Mus musculus: one gene and its partners. The protein of the gene in region 1 interacts with the protein of each later gene in a pairwise test. Links are inferred from orthologs where the notes say so. Each region holds a gene or a part of one and is shown in the gene's direction. Other genes may lie near its edges. The genes, in order: Mcm10, Mcm6 and Cep72.

Region 1 (8,143 bases):
TAATAAAAGCTAAAGCCCAAAGAAAGAATTAATGTATAATTTGATATCCACACTGACACCCGTTTATTTGAGGTGAATTATGTCCAGCTATTTTTCTACAATAAGACTCTATTACATGGAGGCCCTGTAAGCCAGGTTCAAACGTTCGACTGAAATGAACTCTGTTCACTCCAGGGGCAAACGTTTAGCATCTGGAAACTGAACGACCTTCATGACCTGACTCAGTGTGTGTCCTTGTTCTTGTTTGGAGATGTTCACAAAGATCTCTGGAAGACAGAGCAAGGGACCGTCATAGGCTTGCTCAACGCAAACCCCATGAAGCCCAAAGATGGCTTGAAAGAGGTGAGGCTTGAACTCAGCTTGGACTGCTGGGCTGGTGCTTTCTGCACTTCCTTTTGTATCGGAAGCATCTGTGTTAATCTCCCTCTGGGCTTTTCCTGATTCCACATTATTCTGCCTCTTCATTTGCTGGCTCACTGCTTACCGATATTCTGTGAATCTTCTTATTGTAAATGGTTTTGAGTTAGCATCACAGTTCCCAGAGTTTATAACTTTCACGTGTGGAGTGAAAGAACAAACTTGTGGAGTCATTCGCTTCTCTACCTTTCTGTGGGTCTGGGGATTGAACTGGGGACTGCAGCCTTGCTCGGCGAGCATTTGTACTGCTGGGCCATCTCGCCAGCTCAGCTTTACTGAGCTCTCCCACTCGGGTCTCCTTAGGTCCCTGCATAAGTAACAGCCATGGTTGTATCAGGAAATGAGTGTGACACAGCTGACTGAAGTTTGCTTCATTAACCTTGCAGTCCTAGCTGGCGCTTGCAGTGAAGGCTGATCCTCACAGAGTGAGTGCTGTGTTGCTGTTGCTTCCTAACCAGTTGTGTTGCTGCTAACCAGTGTAAACTACAATGGCTAGATAGTTTTTCTGCTCTGTCCCAGCAAGAGCCTTATTTCCAGTAGAGAATGACAAAAGTCTTCATTTGTTGGTTGGGAGTGTATTTGATCATTCATAGCAACACATCAAAAAAACCCTTCATTACAGTTTCTTTAAACAAACAGTGGGATTTAGATGGGTGTGGTAGTTCACACCTATAACCCCAGCAGTTCAAAGGCCAGAGGATTGTCTGTCTGGGCTCCAAAGTCAGATCCTGTCTCAAAATCAAAATAACTGTGTGTGTGTGTGTGTGTGTGTGTGTGTGTGTGTGTGTGTGTGTAGCCTGTGCTGGCCTTGAACTAGCAGCAGGCCTCTTACCTCCAACTCCCAAATTCTAGGATTATAGGTATAAGTTACCATTCCCAACTGTTTTTCCTTTTCTTTCTTCCTTCCTTTTTTCTTTTTTAACTTACTGCCTTTATTAGTTTACTGGGGGCTGGAGGTGGGGTTCATGGGTGTTATCATATATGTGGAATTGAGAGGACAACTTGGGAGAATGGCTTCTCACCTTCCACCCTGTGGGTTCCTAGAGTTGAACTCTGATCATCAGGGTTGATAGCAAGTACCTTTACCCACTAAGCCTTCTTGCCAGCCCAACTTTCTTCCAAGTCCAGTCTAGTATTGTGATAGGTGCAGGAAAGTCACAAGTTTTGGACCAGTCGGGTCTATCCTCTTGTATACAGCAAGAGCCTGATCTCTCCTCACAAAAACAAAAGAGTAGAAACAGGCAGCTTAGTGTTGCCATATCTCTGTGAGTATCTTAGTTACTTTTTTATCCCTGTGAAGAGACACCGTGACCACAGCAACTTATAAAAGAAAGCCTTCCAGTTTCAGAGCGTGAGTCCATGACCATCATAGCGGGGAGCACAGCAGCAGGCAGGCAGGCAGGCAGCAGGTAGGCAGGCATGGCACTATAGTGGTAGCTAAGAGCTTACATCCTGATCCATAAATTTGAGGCAGAGAGACTATGCCCAACTGTGGACTTTTGAAGCCTCAAAGCCAGTGATAACACCTCTTCCAACAAGGTCACACCTCCTAATTCTTCTCAAAATATTTCCAGCCAACCGGGTACCAAATATTCAAATACATCAACCTATGGCGCAATTTTTAATTAAAGTAGTGAGTTTCTGCCTTTCCCTCTTGGTTACAAGATGACAGCGAATCACTATGAAGCAGAATACTTCATCTCCCTACCCTGGGTGGGGAATCTACTCATTGGTTATTGATCCTGGGTTGGGAGGCTCTGAACAGCTTGATATTTTCTGCTAAAATTCCTAGATCTGGTGGGAGGTCTTGCACAAACTCAGCTACCGGGGTGTGAATGCAGTTAGGCAGAACAACTCTGTTACAGATGGGCTGCTCTGTGGGCTCATCCCTCTAAGCTCAGAAGAACTGTCCAGTATAGATGGAGGCGTACCTGTGGCCAAGGTTGCATGGGAGGCTGGCTGAGGGATTCGTTGCCTAGCAACCACTGGGCCCTATGACTTCAAGTGACAGGATGCCCTGTTCTGGGAGCAAGAAGAGAACCCAGGCACCTGAGGACAGTCCTTATCTCAGCCTGTGTTCCTGCCAGGTAGACCTGCCTGAGAATTGGCAGCAGGGAGCAGGAAAACTGAGTCAGCCAAGGTCATTGAGACTGTCCCCCTCCACTTATCACCACTGGTGGCAGGATGAAGAAAGGGGAGCCAGCCTGTCTTTTTTTACTAGGAAATCAAGAACTTCCCTATCAATCCCTGTTTCTGGCTAATTTGCCAAGCCTTAGTCACATGACCATTGTGAGCCACAAGGAATTCTGGGAAACAGGGCTACATCCACTGTCTGCAGTGAGCACTCGGCCAGCCTGGACAGTCAGGATTCTGACAGCTAAGAGGAAGGAAGGGTTGGTTACAGGAAAGGGAGTCGGATTGAGTCTTCAGCACTGCCTAGTGTACAGCTGCTTAGAGCACTGGCTTCACGTGCCTTCCAAAACCAGCTCAGACTGACCTTCGCCCATTCGTAGGATAAAAACCGTAGCACTTACATAAGCTTTCTCTTACAGGTGTGCTTATCTATTGATCATCCTCAAAAAGTCTTAATTATGGGAGAAGCTATGGACCTGGGAGCCTGTAAAGCCAAGAAGAAGAATGGAGAGCCATGTACACAGACAGTTAACTTGGTGGGTCTCAAATCCTTTAGTATTTGCCTATGAACAGTCAATCATGAGGGGTGAGCTTTAGGTGCTGTGGTGGCGATGAGCAAGGGGGAGCACTGGAGGTCACAGGGACTCAGCGAGCGCATAGTGTTGTCTTGTGAGTCTAGGAGAGATGGGTGTCCCTGCTCCCCAGGCCGCTGACCAGAGCCTCATCGCGTCTTCTCCCCGCAGCATGACTGTGAATACTGCCAGTATCACATCCAGGCCCAGTACAAGAAGCTCAGCGCAAAGAGGACTGATCTGCAGTCCACTTTCTCTGGGGGACGGATTCCGAAGAAGTTCCGCAAAGGCACCAGCCTGAAGGAGCGGCTGTGCCAAGATGGTTTCTACTATGGTGGTGTTTCTTCCGAATCCTTCGCAGCGTCCAGGTGAGGCATCTCTCCTGACTGCTCTTGGGAAAGGATTTTGCTTCCCTCTTAAGAGCAAGCGGGTGGTGGACTGTTCCGCAACTGTCCTAGGGTGCTTAAGTGAGCTTCTGTCTTCTTAGATGAAGCCTGAGTGATCAAGGACATCTTTTATTTCTAGGGAGAGAGGAGCACATTGGGAATGAGTAGACAGTGAGTCATGTGAGCCCCTGCTTTACATTTAGCCAGATGTGAAGTCTTGTACCCGCAATCCCAGCTCTGGGGAGACCGAGACAGAACACGAGTCCATGACCAACCTAAGCTGTCTAGGGAGAGCGTGCCCCAAATGGAGAAGGCAGTCTGGAGAGGTAGCTCGGCAGTTCAGAGTGCACACTGTTCGTCAGAGGACCTGAGCTTGTGTCCGTACCCATGGCAGGCGGCTCAACCGCTGTAACGCTAGCTTCAGGAGGTCGATGCTCTCTGTTGTCCTCTCTGGGTCAGTGTACACAAACGTACTCTCATATACACATAAAGAGTAAATGAATAAAACCTTTTTAAGTGAAAGAACAACCAAGAGGTGAAGGCAGCAGAATCAGGAGTCCATGCCAGCCGTGGCAACATTCCAGACCAGCATGGCGCGTATGAGTTCCTGTATCAAAGCAAAAAAGGGTTGATTTTCTTGAGTGGCTGTTATTATTCTCTGTTGTTTTGGTGGTGTTATCGTTATTATTATAGAAGGAGTTTGCAGACCTCTTAGAAACCACTTCTAGCATCATGAACACGTGTGATGTGGCTCACGTGGGGCATGGTGATGCAGGACAGATGATCATGACCCTCTACTGGGATTCTAGACTGTCTAAGGAACCCCAGGTGGTGTGTGACCATGTCATCTTGTTCCTCAAGCAAATTTGTAGGATCTCCATCAGTGATTTAATGTATAAACCAGAACTCCTGGGCTACCAAGCTGTGGCCGGCAAAGCCTGCATGCATGGGGCTTGAGGATCTTGGCCCGTTGGTAACAGGTTCATTGGGAATCCTCATATTGTTTGGGAAGACAATGAGGCTCAAGCACTTTTTCTCTGCTTTGGCACTTGTCGTTACAGGGCGGCGGCCATTGCTCCTAAGAAGAAGGTTCAAACCACGCTGACCAATCTGGTTGTCCGGGGCACAAACTCGATCATCCAGGAAACAAAACAAAAGCTTGGTAATCCTTTCACCCGTCCTCTGTCTCCAGTGGACGCAGTGTGGGACTGAGAATGGCTATGGCTTGCTCATCACCTGAGCTTAGTGGTCGATGTGGCGTAGGCTAAAGGAGAAAGCTTGGTGACTGAGCAGTGAGAGAAATCTTCAGCCTGATCTTAGCGGGTCAGCCTCGCAATATCCAGCAATATCCAGCATTAGTACCACGTTCCCGGCTGATCTCATCAGTTACCTTTCGCTAAAATAGGCCTAGTTAGATAGTGCTGGTCCACCCACACCTTTGGTCCTAAGAGTGACCAGGAACCTGCATGCATATCTTACTCATGCATATTCCAGAAGTGGCATGTCCATGGGTCCCACAATCCTTAGGGGCTTAGTGTTACTCATGCATATTCCAGAAGTGGCACGTCCATGGGTCCCACAATCCTTAGGGGCTTAGTGTTTGATGCCTTTGCTGTCCTACTAGTCTGACCTTTAAGTTAAAAGTTCTGAATTGGCTGGAGAGCTGGCTCAGTGGTTAGGAGCAACGACTGCTCTTCCTGACATCTTGAGTTCAGTTTCCAGCCACCACAAGGTGGCTCACAGCCATCTGTAATGGGATCCAATGCCCTCTTCTGGTATGTCAGAGGACAACTACAGTGTACTCACATACATGAGTAAATCTTAAAAAAAGAAAAAAAGTCTTGCTGTTTGTTTGTTTTGATTTTTGGTGGTATTATTATTACTATATCTGATTCACTAACAGGTTACTAAGTCATGACTGTAGAGTTTAAAACGTGATCTCACATGATATCAAACCATTTACATTTTGAGTCCTATAAAATTAATGTCTACATGTTTCAGGTATTCCCCAGAAGAGCTTGTCCTGCTCTGAGGAGTTCAGGGAATTGATGGCCCTGCCCACATTTGGAGCCAGAAACTTACAAAAGCATCTAGCCAGAGCCAAGGCTTCAGGTAGAGTCAGCGTATGTGATCATGGGGTGTGTGCCCATGTTCCCCAGATCTTTTCTACAACCCCTCAGTGTGTGGCCTGTGTTTTAGGGAGTTCCAAACCTGCCATCCAGTCCATCTCAGCATCAGCCCTCTTGAAGCAGCAGAAACAACAGATGCTGGAGATGCGGAAGAGGAGATCAGAAGACATACAGAAGCGGTAAGAAGAGCAGATCCGGCTCCCTGCCTCCAATCAATGCTCCTGCTCCCAGAGCCTGCTGGTGTGGAGAGCAGTTACTGTGCCCCTGGGAACGAGGAAGGAGACCGTGTGGAGAGGTCTTCTGAGCACTGGCCTTGAGCTCAATTGTTTATCTGCAGAATGAGAAATCTGGGTGCTGTGGTTCTGAAGTGAACAGACTTTGTTATTTCAAACGTGTTGGGCATGGGGCTGGCAAGATGGCTCAGTGGGCAAACGTGACTGCTACTAAGCCATACAAGCTGGGTTCCATCAACAAGGAAATTGCAGTGCCATTTTTGTTAAGGGCTTTTGTTTGATTGGTTGGTTTTGGTTTGTTGGGGGGTTTTTGTTTGTTTTGGGGGGTTTGGTGGGTTTTTTTTTTTTTTTTTTTTTTTTTTGGTTTGGTTTGGTTTAAGTTGTTTGTTTTTCAAGATAGGTTTTTCTGTGTAACCTTGGCTCTCCTGGAACTTGTTCTGTAGACCTGCCTTTGAACTTGAGAGCTGCCTGCTTCTGCCTCCTGGGTATTGGGCTTAAAGGCATGTGCCTCCACCATCTTGTTTAGGTTCTTTCTTTCTTTCTTTCTTTTTTTTTTAATTTTCTGACAGTTCCGTACATGCCTATAAGGAATTGTAGTAATTCACCCGGTGCCATTTCAACTTCTCCTCCCTTCTTCCTTGTGAAGGGTTTCTTATGTATTCCCTTCCTGAAGGATAAACGGAGAAGCAGGGCGATGCAATGAGGCCCTGAGGTCTTACAGCTAACCACACACAGATTTGTGGTTATTTGCCTCTGCATTATAATTTTAGATGTGTGCTGTAGACAGCATCTCTGGCCAAGCCAGTTGGTAAAACGGTCATCAGCTAGGAAGTGATGGAAAATCCACACTATACTCAGTTAGGCGAGAGAAACCTGTGTTCTTAGTTGCTAGTTTGAATTATTAACCAAAGAAAGGAAATTGTTTACCAACAACTAATTGTCCACTCAAGCTTATCCACGGTCTCCTGATCTGTTTTGAGTTCTACGTCTTTTGAGCCTCGGGTATATATTTATCGTTTATGTTTATTTACTTTGGGTTTTGGTTGTAGCATGGAGCCTAGAGGCTAGGGCATGCTAGACAAATAAATGATGTACCATTGAGCCACATACCCAACCCATATTTAGTTACTTCCTATTCCTTTTTAAGATTCCTCCAAAGCTCAAGTGAAGTCCAGAGCCCAGCAGTGCCGTCTTCCTCTCGACAGGCTGCTGCCCAGTCTCCTCGAACTGGGGCTGAGTTCCCCAGGTTGGAAGGAACTGCAACCCCACGGATGCCCAAGCTGGGCAGAGGCATCTCAGAAGGGGACGATGTTCTCTTCTTTGATGATTCACCACCACCAAGACCAAAACTGAGCGCAGCAGCAGAAGCTAAAAAGGTAGCTGGGGTGTCGGGCAGCCAACGGGGTGCTTACTATGTATGCGTGAGGACCTAAGCTTGGATCCCTAGCACTCAAGGAAAAAGCCAGGCATGGTGGCTGCATGTGACCCTGGGGACAGGCAGGAAAGTTAAGGATTTATTTATTTTTGCTGGCTTCTGTCTTCATTGCTTGGCTTTGCATTCTGTGACGAAATGGTGTTAACCAATCATCCTACATAGTTCCAAAGCAAGTGCAATGTGAATGGTATCAGCATAGAGCCGCTGAGCTTATCTACGAACTCAGAGCCATCACTGCTATACATACAGTTCCTTGTCAGTCTGGAGGAGGCAGCCCCCAGGAAGGTATTGTTCTACAGCTGGAGACAGTAGCCTTAGGACTACAAACTGATGGTGCAAAGTTCAGCCTCTTAATCAGGGCTGCAACTGCACTGGGGCTCTCGTAACTGAAGTTAGGAGTTGTGAAAATTCTATTACTGATTAAAGGTTATGAACACAGTGTGCAAAAATTAACTCACAGTCAAACACAGAACAAATCCAGGCTATTCGTGGTAATCCTTGCCTGTGCTGATGGAGAGACGTCACTACAGGCCTGCTTCTGAACCTTCCACGTGCGCACTTTGTCTGACATCTCAGCACGTGGCACCAAGGAGCACTGTGACACCTGGCTCAAGGTCCATGCTGGTTTATGTAATCGTCTGCAATGGTTTTGGTACATGCTCAGTTTTCTACTCTTGAAAATGATTTAAATATGGAAATTCAACATAATGGCTTGTTTACAGCAAGCAAAGACATTTAATATTTCCCTGCTGTTATTCCTCAGCATGGAAGTATCAAAAGTAAAAGTCTCTGAAATGTATTGTTAGAACATTTGATTTTAAAAGTTGCTAAATGAATT
Region 2 (8,143 bases), on another chromosome or scaffold:
TCGACCTTACCATCTCAGATGTGTGTGAACACACAAACAGCCCACTCCCCCACAAGGTCTAGTGTGACTCATGCTGGCCTTGAACTCTCTGTGTAACCCACCATGCCCACGTTTATGGGATACACTCCTAATGATAAGCAGGAAGCTCTATTTCAGTAAGTAATGTAAAACCCTTGCTTCCAACCTGACTTGAGACATTATCTAAATAAAACTGCCTTGCTTTTGTGAATGTTTGGGGGCCTTGGGCTTAGGCTTCTCCTCTTTTCCTTTCACAAGTACACAAACGTAGTTAACTCATGGATAATAGTGTAGTGGCTAAGAGGACACACTGAAGCTAGGCTCTTCAGTCCTGTCCTTACTACTTAGACCTCGGTCAGATAACAAAACTTTTCTGGGACTCAGTTTACTTCTACATAAAATAAAGCTATCATCTACTGCATGAAGATTGCTTCTAGACATACATGGAAAAACAGTTTCATATAAGAAGCTCCTATAAATGCTCTGCTGGGGCTATTTTGAAAATTTTTAAAAATTTTTTTCTTGTTTTGGTTTTTTTATTTTGTTTTGTTTTGAGACAGGTTCTCTATGTGGCCTTGGCTATCCTGAGCTTCACTATGCAGACAATGCTGGTCTCAAAATGACAAAGATCTACCTGCCTCTGTCTCCCAAGTGCTGGGATTAAAAGCATGCACCACCACCATTACTCTAGCTGGTTACTTGCCCCTGTTTTGTTTTGGCCGCTGCCAGTGGCAGTAGCATGTTCGTGTCCCATCCATTGCCCCCCCCCCCAACCCCCTTTTCTTCTGTTACAGCAAATGGGCTGCCTTAGTAAAGGTAGTCAGGTCTGTCCAGGTATTTCAGGGTACTGGAGAGATGGATGTTGTAGTGGTTGGGAGCACTTACTGCTTTTACAGAGGACCAGGCTTGATTCTAAGCCCACCCCTATGTGTATCTTGCAACATCCAGGGGGTCTGAAGCACTCTTTTGGCCTATGGCCACCAGGCATGTACATGATGCAAAACATACACATAGGCAAATACATTTTCTTGTTGCTTTTTTGAGATAGGGTCTCAACATAATTCTGGCTGGTCTGGAGCTTGCTATGTAGGCCAGGCTGGCCTCAAACTCACAGAATTTCTGCCTCCCCCAGTGCTAGGATTAAAGACATATGCCATCATACCCACCATAAAATGTATTTATTTTTTAATTTAAAAATATCTGTAGGGCTGGTGAGATGGCTCAGTGGGTAAGAGCACCCGACTGCTCTTCCAAAGGTCCGGAGTTCAAATCCTAGCAACCACATGGTGGCTCAAAACCATCCATAACGAGATCTGACTCCCTCTTCTGGAGTGTCTGAGGACAGCTACGGTGTACTTAAATATAATAAATGAATAAATTAAAAAAAAAATCTGTAAAACCTTTGATCGTGGGGCTAGAGAGATGGCTCAGCAGAAGTTAATTTTGTCTTGTTTGAAGATAGGGTCTCCTGGAGCATATACTGGCCTTGAACTCTTATATAGTTAAGGCTTAACTCCACTGAGGTTCCTGCCTCTACCTCCTAAGTGCTGGAATTGATCGCAGGCCTTTACTCCTAGTCTGTCACTTGTAGCTAGACATCATCCCTTACTGCGGATAGATAGTACTTGGGAGTCAATACTACTATGACTGACAGAAGTTCTCTTGTTCTGGATCAGGTGACAGATTATGCTATTGCCAGGCGCATAGTAGACTTGCATTCAAGAATTGAAGAATCGATCGATCGAGTTTATTCCCTTGATGATATAAGAAGGTACCTTCTCTTTGCCCGACAGTTTAAACCCAAGGTAATCTGCCCTGCCAGACCTGGATAAGTCGTGGTGTGTGTGGGTGTTAGAACTAGGTGTGAATAAATGGGTTCTGTGGAAATTAACCGAACTGAGTTTTAGCTTTGGTTTTGGTCTTTTGAGGCAGTCAGGGTATCCATTGCATAGTCTAGGCTAGCCTCAAACTCAATCCTGCTTTAGATGCCCACTTCTCTATCTATAGGAATGTGCCAATATGCCTATCTGTATTCATTTTTTAAATATCCTCAAATCTTTAGCTTATTGTTTGAGAATTTTATTCTTGAATAAGATATGTTTTTATAAATCCACCTCTCGCTTCTAGGCTTTTTATTCCTTCCATATCCACACCACTTTTCCTTCCTAACTTTGTACACTCCTTTTAAAACCCTCTAAGTCCACTATAATCTCCTTAAATTTTAAGTTTTTATGTTGTTCTGAGTACTGGTTTCTTCAAAGATGGTTAATTTGTTAAGTACTGAAAAAATATTTTAGCCAGGCATGGTAGTCTATATAGTGAAACCCTGTCTAACAATAAGGATTGTGAGCAACTTTCATGTAAAGAGTGTGAATTTGCCAATAATACTACTGTTTACTGAGTTTCTTGCTCTGTAAAACTGAGGGCCTTTTAAGTCAGTATATGCTGTCTTTTTCCCTCAAGCCAGTATAAGTTCATGAGCTTATACTGACTCAGGATAGACTTAGTGCTAATGAGCTTTGACATCTTGAGGTACATTTCATTTTATTCTATTTATTGCTTCATGTGTTAAACATCATTTAGAAATGGTCAATTGCTTATACTGGTCCATTGTCTTCATATTCATAGAATTAGGACATGAATTTATAGGCTTCTGAGTGTCAGTTTTTTTAATTAATTTACTGTCTTTGTGATAAAGTTTCAACCTCTGCCCTCTGTTTCCTGGAGTGCTTCCATCCAGGACCCTCTTTACCTGACATTTAATGTAGTCGATCAAGTGTGTGTGTGTGTGTGTCTGTCTGTCTGTCTGTCTGTCTGTCTGTCTGTGTTGTATGTATATAAATAAATATCTCCTTGACTTGACTGGTTTTTAAACAGATTTCCAAAGAGTCAGAAGACTTCATTGTGGAGCAGTACAAACGTCTCCGCCAGAGGGATGGCTCTGGGGTCACCAAGTCCTCGTGGAGAATCACCGTGCGACAGCTTGAGAGCATGATCCGACTCTCAGAATCAATGGCCCGCATGCACTGCTGTGACGAGGTACCAGCCCCTCTGATAACACGGGAACAGGAATGCATGAGTTGACTTTTAGGCGGGTTTTTATCTTTGTTATGGAATATCTCACAGCCAGTTGATAACTATTCTCCCAGTAAAAAGGTTGCTATCATAGGTTTATGAGGTATGCTGTCTAGACTAATAGTGATGGATAAAAGTGTTTATTATAATCAGTAAATTATGGAGTGCAGATACAGGTGAGTACTTACGCAAGAGAAACCTATTTAATCTCTACAGTGGCCTTGGCCTCTGGCTGGGAATACAAACGTGACTGTGACTCCTGCCTCAGAGGACTCTTCCTCCTTAGGGTTGTATAATCAGTGTGTGGCGGGTGTGGGCATTATTTTGGGTTTGCATATGCTGGGGCAAAATTCAGGGCTTTGTGTATGCTAAGCACACTCATGACTCTTACCTTAGCTCCATAGATTTTTAATTGCTCTTGGTGCCCTAGACTCAAAGCAAATGTCGGATTATGGGAAGGGGTGATATTGGAAGCCACATATCTGCTTCAAACTAAGAGGCTTTTGTGTACTTTTATATACAGAGTTCATTTAGGATTCAAATTTTGTCTGTGAAAGGACTAGGTTCATTTGTTTGTTGTGTTTCTGAAACAGGTGCTCTTTTGGTAACCTGGCTTAAATTCCCAGCCCTCTGCCACAGACTACCATGGATGGAATTATAAATGCAGTTAGGTTTTGAGATAGCATTTAAAGCCCAAACTGGCCTTGAACCCAGCATTGTATCACATGCCTATAATCCCGAGGCTTAGGAGGTAGAGGCAGGAGAATCATGAGTTCAGACTCATCCTCATCTGCAGTTCAAGTTTGAGGCCAACTTGAGCTCAATGGGTCTTTGTCTCAAAAAATGAATCAATAAACAAGATTTGGGAATGTTGTAGATACGGGGGGGGGGGGGAGCCTAGATTCAGTTCTCAGTACTGTAAGGGAAGGGAGAAAGGAAGAAGCCACGTGGTGGTGGTGGTACACGCCTTTAATTCCAGCACTCAGGAAGCAGAGGCAGGTGGATCACTGTGAGTTCAAGACCAGCCTGATATACATAGGTAGTTCTAGGATAGCCAGGGCTACACAAAGAAACCCTGTCACAAAACAAGGAAAAAAATAAAGAAAATTGAACTGGGGAGATTGTGTGGTTTATGGTTAAGAATATAGAGGGCCCAGATTATATTCCCAGCAACCATGTGATGGTTTCCAACTGACATGACGCCAGTCCTAAGGGATCCAATACCTTCTGGCCTCTGCAGGCTTTGAGTGCATATGGTGCACAGACATAATTACAGACAAATGCACATTAAATAAAAACAAGCCGGGCGTGGTGGTGCACGCCTTTAATCCCAGCACTTGGGAGGCAGAGGCAGGCGGATCTTGCAAACCAGAGTTTGGTTCTGTCTTAGTCCTGCACAAAACATCAAATTGGGGAGGAAGGGGTTTATTCAGTTTACACTTCCACATCGCTGTTCATCAACAAAGGAAGTCAGGACTGGAACTCAAGCAGGTCAGGAAGCAGGAGCTGATGCAGAGGCCACGGAGGGATGTTACTTACTGGCTTGCTTCCCTGGCTTGATCAGCCTGCTCTCTTATAGAACCAAGACTACCAGCCCAGGGATGGCACCACCCACAATGGGCCCTCCCCACCCTTGATCACTAATTGAGAAAATGCCTTACAGCTGGATCTCATGGAGGCATTTCCTCAACTGAAGCTCCTTTCTTTGTGATAACTCCAGCTTGTATGAAGTTGACACACAAAACCAGCCAGTACAGGTTCCCAAAACCCACATTGGGCTGCTTACAACTGCCGGTAATTCCAGCTCCAAGGGATCCAGCACTCTGGTTTTTTGAGACAGGGTTTCTCTGTGTATCCCTGGCTATCCTAGAACTCAGAAATCCACCTGCCTCTGCCTGCCGAGTGCTGGGACTAAAGGCGTGCACCACCACCGCCCAGCTGAATCCAGCACTCTTCACCCCTCCACAGGCATCTGCACTCGTGAGCACATACCCACACACAGATCCATAGAATACATACATAGATGCAGCTGTGTCAGTTCATATACGCCTGTGGAAAGTGACAGTTAGTCTGTGATCTTGATAGTGTATGATATTGTCGGTCATTTCAACCATCTTAGTGAGTTAATAGTGCCATATAGGGGAGAGCACCGTGTTCTTAGCTGTTTGGTATAAAATATCTTAACATAACTAACTGGTCTGATTATTGCCTTAGGTTCAGCCTAAACATGTGAAGGAAGCTTTTCGATTACTGAATAAATCAATCATCCGTGTAGAGACGCCTGATGTCAATCTAGATCAAGAGGAAGAGATCCAGATGGAGACGGATGAGGGACAAGGAGGCGTCAATGGTGAGGAGCTTGCTCATCTCATTGCCTGTCTATAGACAGGCTCCAGTCTTGCAGGGTGTCGTGGTACCAGCACACTTGTCAGTGGCTGTGAATGGATGTATTCAAAGGGGATTTTAAATTAACTATAAGCTGAAGGACAGTAGGACAGCTAAGTGGTTGTACAAAGTATATATGCTTGGAGACCAAAAGAAAGCATGTCACAATGAACAGATCCTTTGTCCTCTACTCTTGCATACAATATTCTGTTTAGCTCTTGAACTTGAAATATGTTCTTGGGCAAGTAGAAGGTTCAGTGGGTAAATAACCTTATCTGAAAACCTGGTGCATGTAAAGGTAAGAGGACTGAATCCTGTGATTTCTGTATACGCACAATGGCAAGTTCACATGCGTCCATATACATAATAGCAATTTAAAAGATTCTTAAACTTCTCGATCACATTGAACAGGTGAATAATATTATTTTTTTCCTTATAACACTACAAATTGACTTTGTCAGATGCCGGGGAAAGGTCTCACTAGGTAGCCTAAGTTGTCTTAAATCTCTAGCCTCTGGTTCAGCCTTTTAAGTGCACAAATTATAGGTGTGTGCCACTGTGCCCTGCTGCAAATGGTATCAATAAGATCTCTGTCCCCATCTCTGACACTCTTCTCAAGCCAGTTGTCTTCACTAGTAGGATTTTAATTTGTTTCAGATTTATCTATAAAATGGCTGTTTTCTGAAGTTTGTACTAAGCATAGAGAGTGTGCATGGGCACTAGATGGGCATGTTGAAGTCACCAGGAAGGACTTAGGTGGTTATTTCCTTCCTTAGGTCATGCCGACAGCCCTGCCCCTGTGAATAGGTTCAACGGCTCCAGTGAAGATGCCAGCCAGGAGACTGTTTCCAAGCCCTCCCTGAGGCTGGGCTTTGCTGAATACTGCCGAATCTCGAACCTCATCGTGCTCCACCTCAGGAAAATGGAAGAAGGTGAGTATGTTTCCCACGCTGCTTATCTGCTGTGGGTCTTACACGCGCTCTCTGCCACTTGTGATGTTAAGCCTTGTGTTAAGCTTCAGAACTCAGAAGAGATGATGGTTTGTGTTGGCTCACTTTAGGAGGGAGCCTGGGTAGTATCAGCACAGCCTCCCTACAAGCTCATTGTCAGTAGAGTACAGATCATTCTACAATACAGGACATAAATAAATACCGATGTTCCTGTATTTAGCTTATGATTTTGAAGCAGAATCTTTAGATCTGATGATATAAACAACATTTTTGCAGGTGGAAATGACTATAGTTGCTTTCTTACCAACAGATGTCTTGCAGGATATTTGTGTTTATCTACAAAATACCACAGATGTAATACAATCCTCCTTTGTACCTGGTCGGTGGGGCACTTGCCCGCTTTTTACCCTTGACTGCTTTGCCATGGTTTCATATCGGTTTCACAGTTAGCCATGGGTAAGAGGAGAAGCCATCATCTGTTAGAGCTGAAGTTCATTCTTTTTGTGGGTGTAGCCACTTGTGTATGGGTGTCCATGGAGACCAAAAGGCACTTGGCTCCCCCAGAGCTGGAGTTACAGTAGGACGGCTCTGTGATGGCTTCTAGGCGTAATTCACCATGCACAATTCCAATCCGTGCTGCAGACTTTCACAGCCATGTTCAGCTAGTACTTGAAAGAAACTGAAGTAGACTCAGAAGTAGATTCTGGCTGAATGCAGTGCCTACACTTAGTCTTAGCAGTTTGGCAGAGGCAGGTTTGTCTCTGAGTTCAAAACCAGCCTGGTCTACATAGTGAGCTCCAAGCCAGCCAAGGCTACAAAGTGGTTATCTGGTCTCAAAAAAACAAACAAACAAACAAACAAACCCTGAAGAGGAGCTTACAAATCCATGTGATTGTGTGTGTGTGTGTGTGTGTAGTGGTGAGGACTGGACATCCTAAGCACATGCTCTAAAATTACTGATCTTTACTTTTGCACCTTATTTTGCAGTTTCTAAAATCAAGCTTACGGTTTTTCCTGTGTGTGCCATGAATTGTGTGGCAGTTTGCTAGAGGTCAGTCCTTTTCAATAATGTGTTTGTTTGGTTGCAGAGGAGGACGAGTCGGCACTAAAGAGAAGCGAGCTTGTCAACTGGTACCTGAAGGAAATCGAATCAGAGATAGACTCTGAAGAAGAGCTCATAAATAAAAAGACGATCATTGAGAAGGTTGTTCATCGTCTCACACACTACGTAAGTGTCCACTGCCTGGGCTCCAGGGCACTGTGAGGGAGTGCCTCTATCTGCAGGCTTTCTGATGAATCATTGGGGAGCGGTCATAATTGTAGTTGAGGAAAATTAACCGAAAGGGAAGGACTTTTCCTAAAATAAGCAGAATTTAGGTAAAAGTTGAGCAGGCAGCATTTGGGTCTTACTTCTGGGTGGGCTTTTTGTGGTGTCTTTATTTAGCTATACTGGTATTGAGCCCTGAGTTTGTATGTGCTGGGCAGACATGCCTCTGTGCTGAATTCTAGGCTCCTGTTTGGGTGCTTTCTAACTTTCTGTTTTCACCCTGTCGGCTTCATTCATACCTGGCTATGTAATTCTCAACCGGACCACTAGCAGTACCTGATCCTCGGCCCCACTCCCACCCCCAGTCCAATGATCAGGTTTTTTTTAAAAATTCTTTTCTATTTTGTTTGGTAAGAGTTGCTTAGGGGCTGGAAGAGAAGAGGACAGA
Region 3 (8,143 bases), on another chromosome or scaffold:
GAGTCTGACTACCGCCTGTTTGTCGTGCACATGCTCCCGAAGCTCCGACAGCTAGGTGGGTGGAGGAGCTGTCGCCCTCCCAACCGCCCACAGTGGAGCTGCTCCTGGATAGATTATGCTGCTGTTCCATGCTGGAAACTGAAGCAGGTTTTTTTGCACTGATGGCCCAAATCCCTGTCAGCTCTGGGGTATCTTTCATCCTCCTGGAGTCAGTCTTGCTAGTCAGCCAAGTTTTAGGCCTAGTGAGAGGCCTTATCTCAAAATCAAGATGGATAATACCTGAGAAAAGACACCCAAAGGCAGTTTACATTTGACCTCCACATGCACAAATGTGTATACATGCATTGGTAAACACATGTGTACACAACACACACACCACTATCACCATCACCACCACTACCACCATCACCACCACCACCACCATCAACAACAACAACAAAATGCCAAGTTTACAAGGTCATTCCTGAGTTAATATCTGTAAGTTCTCAGGATAGTGTTGTATGACTTGTAGGTCAAGGAGCTTATAAGCATTTCCTGGAATTTCTGTTGTTATTGGGGTCAGACCTCCTGTGCCTAGAGGATCATCAAAGCAATAGAACTACTAAAGTTCTATTAGAAATATAGAAAAATAGACCACGTTTCCTCCATGGCAAATGCCTGACGGCACAGAGTTTGCCATTCAGAGTCTTTTGGAAAAAGTAGAGTTCAGATGCTTGCTTTTGGGCCAGTGGGTAAAATAGATAAAGATACTTGCTACCAAGTCTGATGACCTGAAATAATTCTCAGGAAACACATGGTGGAAGGAGAGAACTGCTGCAAGTTGCCCTTTGACCTCCACATATGCACTGTGACACATGTGCACTCACACTCATATATATACACACAAATATGTACATAAATATAATTTTCTAAAAAGATACAGCAGTAGCAAAAAGAGAGCTACGGCTTGAGTGTCTTCAAACTTGTCTGGATAATTTTAGTTCAGCTTGGCCCTTATATGTAGACTGGCATGTGTTGGCCGGTTCTGAGTCAGCTCTGGATTTCTACCCACTACCTTAATTCAGGACAGACATCGTCAGTCAGTCTGCCAGCTTTCCCATAGGTAGTCCTAGCCTTACACATCCATTCCTCAGGCCTGGAAGATAGACACTGTGTAAGTCCTGCCCTGTGGGTTTATCAGTATGGCAAGAGCTTCATGAGTGAATATCAAGTTAAATTCATCCATAAAGTCTGGGCTATCTTGACATAGCACCAAGAGCTAGAATGTTTTGACCATGAACTGATCTTCTGTGTGTAAATGGTGTTCTGATGCCTTAAACTCCCTTTCCCTGTATCTCAGAGATGTTTCTAGAGATAGCAGAGGAATTTAGCAACATGAAAAGCACATGTTCCTTTTGTTTCATCCTTCTGTAACAGTGTTAATTAGTGGGGTGAATTATTCCTTGCAAAGCTGTCCTCATTGGTCAGCAACAGTTTGGCTATTATCAGAAGCCACCTATTTAGTAACTCAGTTGGGACTATTTTCTTCAATCCTCGAAAGGAAGCTTGGGGACCTGGCATAATAGCCCTGAGTATGGGCTGGTCTCTCCTAGCCCAACAGGTTACATTTCCACAAGAGTTCAGCTCCTAGGGCAGGATGGGCCAATAGCAATGGTGAGCAAGCCTGTCTTGTTTGTGACTGGTAGTCCATTACCCATGCAGTGGTGATCATGTATCTCTAACCTTAAGGTAGTTGTTGGCCAAAGGTGGAGGGTACCTTTGAGTGCCTGTACCTTCTGTGTCTTGACCCAGAGAGCCCAGTTCCCTCACATTGTGAGTACTGATGCTTTAGTCCCCGTGGTAAGACCTCATGTCCTTCATTTGGTTCAGTTTTGATGAAACTCCTAGCCATAAGATGTGCTATGGACACTGTTAGATTACAAAGTGTTGAGCCTGGGTGCAGTTGGACCAACTGCCTAGAGCACATTGTTTAGTTAAAACATACTTGGAATTTCTGTGTTTAATTTGAAGATACTTGGAAGGAATATGTGCTGTGTTCTATCCTTTATTTGACTGTTTAAGTAACTTATAAACAGTTGAGTTTGGCTTTGTATTTAGAAGCATTACAATTATGGGTAGTCTTGAATTCTTCAGGCTTAAATCACTGCCTTCCCCTTGCCAGAAACGTTTAGATTCAGAATCACAGAGTTTGTATGGAAAAGGAATGTAAGAGGTATTTTCATACACAGCAAAGGGATATTATTGAAATCAGCGCCATTGGAAAAATCCTCTCCAAAGGCTCTGAATGGGCAGATGCTGGAAGAGCATCTTGGTCCTGTACAGGGCCTGCAGAGGGCCTTGGTCCTGGTTGTAGGTAGGAGACTCTGGATAGGTTGTAGAGAAAGGAGCAAAGGGGTAGTCTGATGGCTGTAGGATGCAGTAGGGTCTGAGAAGATGCTGCTGCCAGGAAAGGTGGAAGTGTGTGTGTGTGTGTGTGTGTGTGTGTGTGTGTGTGTGTGTGTGTGTGTGAGGGGGGTGAACTTTAATGGCTTTGGAAGATTTATATTTGAGTTCTGGTGGAGTAGTCCAGGGATTTGCACAGCCTCTGAGGGGAAAGTAGCTCAGCTTAGACATGTTCTCCTAGTCCAGAGAAGACACGTATAATTATGCAACATTGTGGGGGTCTTCCTCACTTTTTATTATTTTTTATAACTGTGTGTCATACAGTAAATACTGTTTAGAAGATAGCATGGGACCCTAACTACATAAAATGAGGAAAGTTCTAAGACTAAGGCCTTCTCATCCTTAGGTACTTATATAAGACATGTCAGAAGGCTCTTTGGTCAAGGCCTTCTGAGGCTTTGTATCTCTATATGGGACATTTGGGATTTCTCCTCTGTTTCTGTGTTCCAGCATTGGGCTTCTGGGGACTCACCCTTAAGAGCAAACTCACATAGTCGGAATCTTCATTGTGGGGAGGACTCTCCTCTATGCAGACCCTTTTGTGTGCTTGTGTGACAAGACTTATCCAGTGTCTGGCATGCACATTTAATAAACATTTAAGAAGCATGCCTTAAATGTACACCTTATAAGTCCTACTTTTGCAAAGAGCATCAGCCTGTTCCAATAGCAGCTCATAAACAGCAAGCTTTATGGGCATAGGCCAGCCTCTTGGCATTGTTGGGAAGCCAAGTGTAGCCACCAGAGCCCATCATTCTAGTATGATGCATGCCATTTGATGATGAAAGCTTGTGTCAGCCATGGAGCACCAACACCTTCAGGTATTGTGAGCTCCAGAAAGGGAGAGCTAGGTGTGTCCGCTCTCATGAAGAACATGGCAGTCATCTGCCCCTGTTCTCTACAGTTCTTGGGAATTTTCTCTTTAGATGACCGTCCTGTGAGAGAAAGTGAGCGGAAAGCTTCCCAGCTTCATTTTGCCCCAGAAGATTCACTGAACTCAAAGGAGAACTTCTCAACCACTTTAACCGTTGGAAGGTATGGACTAATGTGGTTCCACTCAGATGGATTTCAAATTTGCCTGTCGACAGGGCATTCAGCCGTCAGGCATGAGTGTCTGTGTGCCACCTATCCCTGAGGGACAAGTATGCAGAGCAGATAGAAGTTCTCAGTTCTGACTGGGACTCAAGTAGGTGGTGGTAGACATCTCTTTCTCTGTTTCTTCCAAAGTTCTTTAGTACTGCCAGTCCGTTTCAAACAAGAAAGCTGCTGTAAAGACAGCCACACCTCAGAACATTGCATTTGGATTCCTTGGCATCTCTTGTGTTAGCTTTTTCTTTAATTTTGCTGTTCATATTATGGCACTAAGGGAGAGCATGTCTTAGTCGTCTTGGCCTCAATATGTAGTTTATGGAGAAATTTGTTTTCTGTTTTTAATCTTTTCCCTTTCATATATGTATATTATTTTAGTTAGTTTCTGTTGCTGTGATGAAACACTGTGTCCTAGACAACTTGGGGAAGAAAAGGTATATTTCGCTTTACTTCAGGTGATAGTCCATCAGTGAGGGAAGGCAAGGCAGGAACTTAAACAGAGCAAGAACCTGGAAGCAGGAGCTGATGCAGAGGCCATGGAGGGGTGGTGCTTACTGGCTCGCTCCTCATAGCTTGCTTAGCCTGCTTTCTTATAGAACCCAGGGCTACCAGTCCAGGGATGGCTCTACTCACAATGGGTTAGATTCTCCCCTGTCATTAATAAAATATCCTCCAGGCTTGCCTGTACCCCTCTTCTTAATTGAAGTTCCCTCCTCTCAGATGGCTTTAGCTTGTGTTAAGTTGACATAAAACCATCCAGCATACACATATTTTTAGGAAACTTCTACAGTAGCAGATTTTCACAGAGCTCCCCAAATAGCCCTTATTGTTAGTTGTCCTCCTGATTTCCCTCCCTCCCCTCTTCTTCTATCACCAATGCCCATCTAAGCTCTCACTCCAGTCTCCCGTGCCTTTCTCTGATGTTATATTCTATTTCCTCTTCCTTGGGAGGTCCCTTTCCCCCTTCTAATCCCTTAATGGTCACCTAACCTCTGAGGTGATGAGGGCTGTAGCACACATATCAAGGGCTTAAAAGGTAACATCCACATCTAAAAGAAAACAGACAATATTTGTCTTCTGGGGTCTGGATTATATCATTCAGGATGATTTTTTTTCCCCTAGCACTGCCCATTTACCAGAAAAATCCATTTTCTTGACAGCTGAATAATATTCCATCATGTCAAAGTTTGGTAGCATCTCTGGAAGCCAGTCAGTTTCTCTCTAGTCAGTTGGATGTATTGTTCTTAAGCATTGAAGTTGACATTGTTTGGTGACAGTTCTGAACAATTTCTGTGAATATTCTTCTTTGTTGTATATGACCCCTGAAGTTTCAGTTTAATTAGCTTATTGACTAGTGATTAGTCAAAGATTGCCATTCGTATATGGAACCAAAAAGTTAAAGGCTATGTTATACATGCCTCACTCAGCATAAATGTAGGTAAATATAAGCATCCGGAACATGTAGTTCTTTAAGTTTCTTGATCACATGCATTTCTTGTGAATGTGTCAAGAAAAGAATAAGTTGAATTCTAACCTGTTAGAAGATTGTAGAAACAGAGGAACATTCTAGAATTTATATTTTTTAGCTATTTCTAGTGGACTTCTGTTTAATGCTGAGGCAATAGTGTTGGTGGCATCTCAGACATTGTTATTGGTTGCCAGTTGTGCTAGGTAAGTCCCTCTTCCAGGTCACTTTATAATGAGAGCCATGCTAGGCTGGGACTATACCTGGGCCTGTGGACACCGAGAAGTTTCCTTTTCCCTTGCAGACCACACCACCTCAGAAACAGATGTACTGAGACCTCGGCCAAAAAATGCTTGGTCATGGATGCTGATGATGAGGCTGTCCTGAACCTTATTGCCGAGTGTGAATGGGACCTAAGCAATCCTCCTGGGAACATGAGCTCCAGCCAAAAGGAACATGAAGCTGACCTCCATTATGCCCAAGGTGCGCACCGTAGTACAGTGAAGGCTCCATGGGTCAGACAGGCCCTGGCTTGAGCATATACTTAGAGTGCTTACAGTTTTGACTCTGAATACTAGTATTTTGACTATGAAATTACAAAGGGAAAAGTTAACGGCCCTAACTTGAGTCTAGTCATAATTGCAGTGTTTTAATCTCATTCTTTCTCAGAGCATAGGGGGAAAAATGTCTGAGTTAAACAAGAAAGCTAGATGTCTCCAGCACCTGTGAGGAGTAGTTAGCCACTTGGATCTTTTGAAATCCTGGTGCTCAAGAGCCTGGTTAGGCCACTGTTCTACCAGGATCTCAGAACTTCCCAAACCCTGTGAACTTAATGTGCCTTTCACCAGAGACCTGCTTGTAAACCTTAACTTAATGTCTTGTATTCCACCATGAATTTCCCAGAGCCGTTCATGCTGGGCCAGCAGCTCCTGTGCCGCAATCTCCCAGTACTGCTGTCTTCAGTCCTCTGAACCCTAGTTCCTCCCCTGGGTGTGTGGGTGTGTTCGTTCTAACTTACCTTTTCCTGGCAGGTATTGATGTGGTGCTGGCCGTCTATATCTTCTCTTATGATACTTTAAAGCCTCCCACCCTGTTGTTTAATAGCTTATTTCTTCTTTTGTTGTTGAATCATACAAATTACGTGTGGATTTTGGATCTAAGACCTTTCTTTTCATTCTACGGATTGATTGCCTTTTCACATTCCTAACAGCGCTTCAAAGAACAGCTAAGCAATTAGACAGTTTTTCTAAACTAGAATGTGCTCTGTTGTGCCCTACTACAGACCTTTTCCCATCCCATGCCATAGAAGGACTGCCCAGGTTTATGCACAGTCCACCGTTGGAGTCAGGGCTGAGTGGCTTGAGAGTACGGCATCACTGGTCAAGACTTCTCCCACTTCCAGTTATTCTGAGCATCTGTTGAAAAGAGACATCATTACTCTGGGCTTTCATTAAGGGAGTTAATTTGCATCTATTTCCCAATCTGTAAAGTCTCTCTTCTATACACTGCCATCCCATCTTGGTTACTTGGTATTGAGTCTTGTCACCCTTGAACACTGACATTTTCCTGCCGGTAGACTATCCGGAATTCACTGCAGTGTTGACTGCTATATTAACCTACTCAGTATTTTTCGTCTTACTTAATTGACTTAAGAAAAGTATATTTTATAGATTACATTGCTCTCACAAACTTAAACTGTAATCTTTAATAAAATAAGATTTAAAATGTTTTTAATAAAATAGAGTCCAGACATCTGTTGAGTCCTTTGTCCATCCAGCACCAGTGTGGGGATTCAGCGAGGCGAGGCCATGAGAAGAAGAAAGTCACCTCCAGAGGGTGTCCAGGTCATTCACCGCAGGACCAGCTCTGTGGGGAACTCCCCCTACAGCATGGCTTGCCAGAGGCCTGCCATATGCACGTACAGCATGCCCGCATCACTTCACAGCCAGGTAACCGCCCAGTCCTGCCAGGATCGAGCTGCCTTTCTAAATAAGTGTCTACACATTATTCACAGTGTTTGCTATAACTCTTGAAATTTTTCCTGATGTCTTTATACTTATATATGAAGCTCTAAATTATCTTTGGAAAGGATTTAGCACATCAAAATTTATCACACACCCGTATTTTGGATTGTTAGTTTGGAAATTTCTTGGTATTTTTCCATTGTGCACACACCCTCTTTCTCTGCCTCTCACATTTCTTCCTATCCCTCTTTAGTCCCATAGACAGGTGTTTTCTTCTAAATACATAGGCCAAGCTCATGAAACTAGCTACATTTTTAATACCAAGGATGAGGAAAGTTGAATAAGTTAATTAAGAGTACCATGGGTACAGTGTAAGTATCAAAACTTGAAGCGCTTGTTTCAGTCACATTTGTGAGGCTTTCAGAAGCACAATCAATGGTTAGGTAATGGGCTGTTCAGAGTTTTGGGCTGCGGTTAAGGTAGAGCCATGTTCCTGTTCAATGCCTTCCCCGCTGTCATTGTTCTTCCCTAGACAAGAGTTTGTCTGCCCCTCCCAGAGAGAGTATTAGTAAGTAAATACATGGACCTCCCATGTTATTTTATTATCCCTGCCTATTTCATATCTTGGAAACACACATGTGTGATGTTGTCAGAGAACTTATATTGACACATCTATTCTGTATGAGCTTATGCAGAGCAAGTACTGATGAAAGCCTGCTACTTAACAAGAATGGATTCTGTCCACTTTGTCCAGGTTCTTCTCAAAATCCCTGTTTTTCCACATGTGCTTCCTCATGTCCCTCCCTCCTTCCCCCTCCTTCTCCTCTTCCTCTCATGGGTCTTTGTGTGTGTGTCTGTCCATACCCACGTGTGTGCTCACATGCACATATATAAGCATGTGTTTGTTTCATGTGCCTGTGTTTGGTGGATACACATTCACATTTGTGAATGTAATTTTTAAAAATATAAAACAAGACTCCAGATCCCTGAGAATTCAGTCTAATAAGGGTTCTGCCCACTTTCTCTGTATTACAGACTCTGTGGATGTTGAGGACTGTGCTTCATCTGCTCAGAAATCAAGTTTGTCATCACAAAAAACAGTAAATCCTTTGCCTGTCCCTGAAAAGTACAGGAAGCGAAGGATGCCTGGTGGGAGATTCCAGGTGCCTTCAGACCGGGAGTGTTT

What was found.
Region 2: the proteins of Mcm10 (region 1) and Mcm6 interact in binary tests that used the Homo sapiens proteins (3 or more experiments, as listed by UniProt). The two-hybrid records come from large-scale screens. The link is inferred for Mus musculus from reciprocal best matches to the Homo sapiens genes MCM10 and MCM6.
Region 3: the proteins of Mcm10 (region 1) and Cep72 interact in a two-hybrid assay, tested with the Homo sapiens proteins (2 studies listed by BioGRID and IntAct). The two-hybrid records come from large-scale screens. The link is inferred for Mus musculus from reciprocal best matches to the Homo sapiens genes MCM10 and CEP72.

What each region holds. Positions count from the first base shown.
Region 1 is NC_000068.7:4,996,207-5,004,349, reverse strand, and holds part of Mcm10 (protein MCM10 homolog), read left to right. Parts: intron 1-174; coding exon 175-342; intron 343-2,969; coding exon 2,970-3,086; intron 3,087-3,293; coding exon 3,294-3,490; intron 3,491-4,569; coding exon 4,570-4,670; intron 4,671-5,509; coding exon 5,510-5,620; intron 5,621-5,707; coding exon 5,708-5,816; intron 5,817-7,017; coding exon 7,018-7,246; intron 7,247-8,143. UniProt on the Homo sapiens protein: Acts as a replication initiation factor that brings together the MCM2-7 helicase and the DNA polymerase alpha/primase complex in order to initiate DNA replication. Additionally, plays a role in preventing DNA damage during replication.
Region 2 is NC_000067.6:128,333,030-128,341,172, reverse strand, and holds part of Mcm6 (DNA replication licensing factor MCM6), read left to right. Parts: intron 1-1,694; coding exon 1,695-1,823; intron 1,824-2,895; coding exon 2,896-3,057; intron 3,058-5,307; coding exon 5,308-5,443; intron 5,444-6,254; coding exon 6,255-6,410; intron 6,411-7,516; coding exon 7,517-7,656; coding exon of another isoform or gene 7,657-7,692; exon of another isoform or gene 7,693-8,143. UniProt on the Homo sapiens protein: Acts as a component of the MCM2-7 complex (MCM complex) which is the replicative helicase essential for 'once per cell cycle' DNA replication initiation and elongation in eukaryotic cells.
Region 3 is NC_000079.6:74,050,214-74,058,356, reverse strand, and holds part of Cep72 (centrosomal protein of 72 kDa), read left to right. Parts: coding exon 1-55; intron 56-3,365; coding exon 3,366-3,474; intron 3,475-5,297; coding exon 5,298-5,476; intron 5,477-6,735; coding exon 6,736-6,942; intron 6,943-7,992; coding exon 7,993-8,143. UniProt on the Homo sapiens protein: Involved in the recruitment of key centrosomal proteins to the centrosome.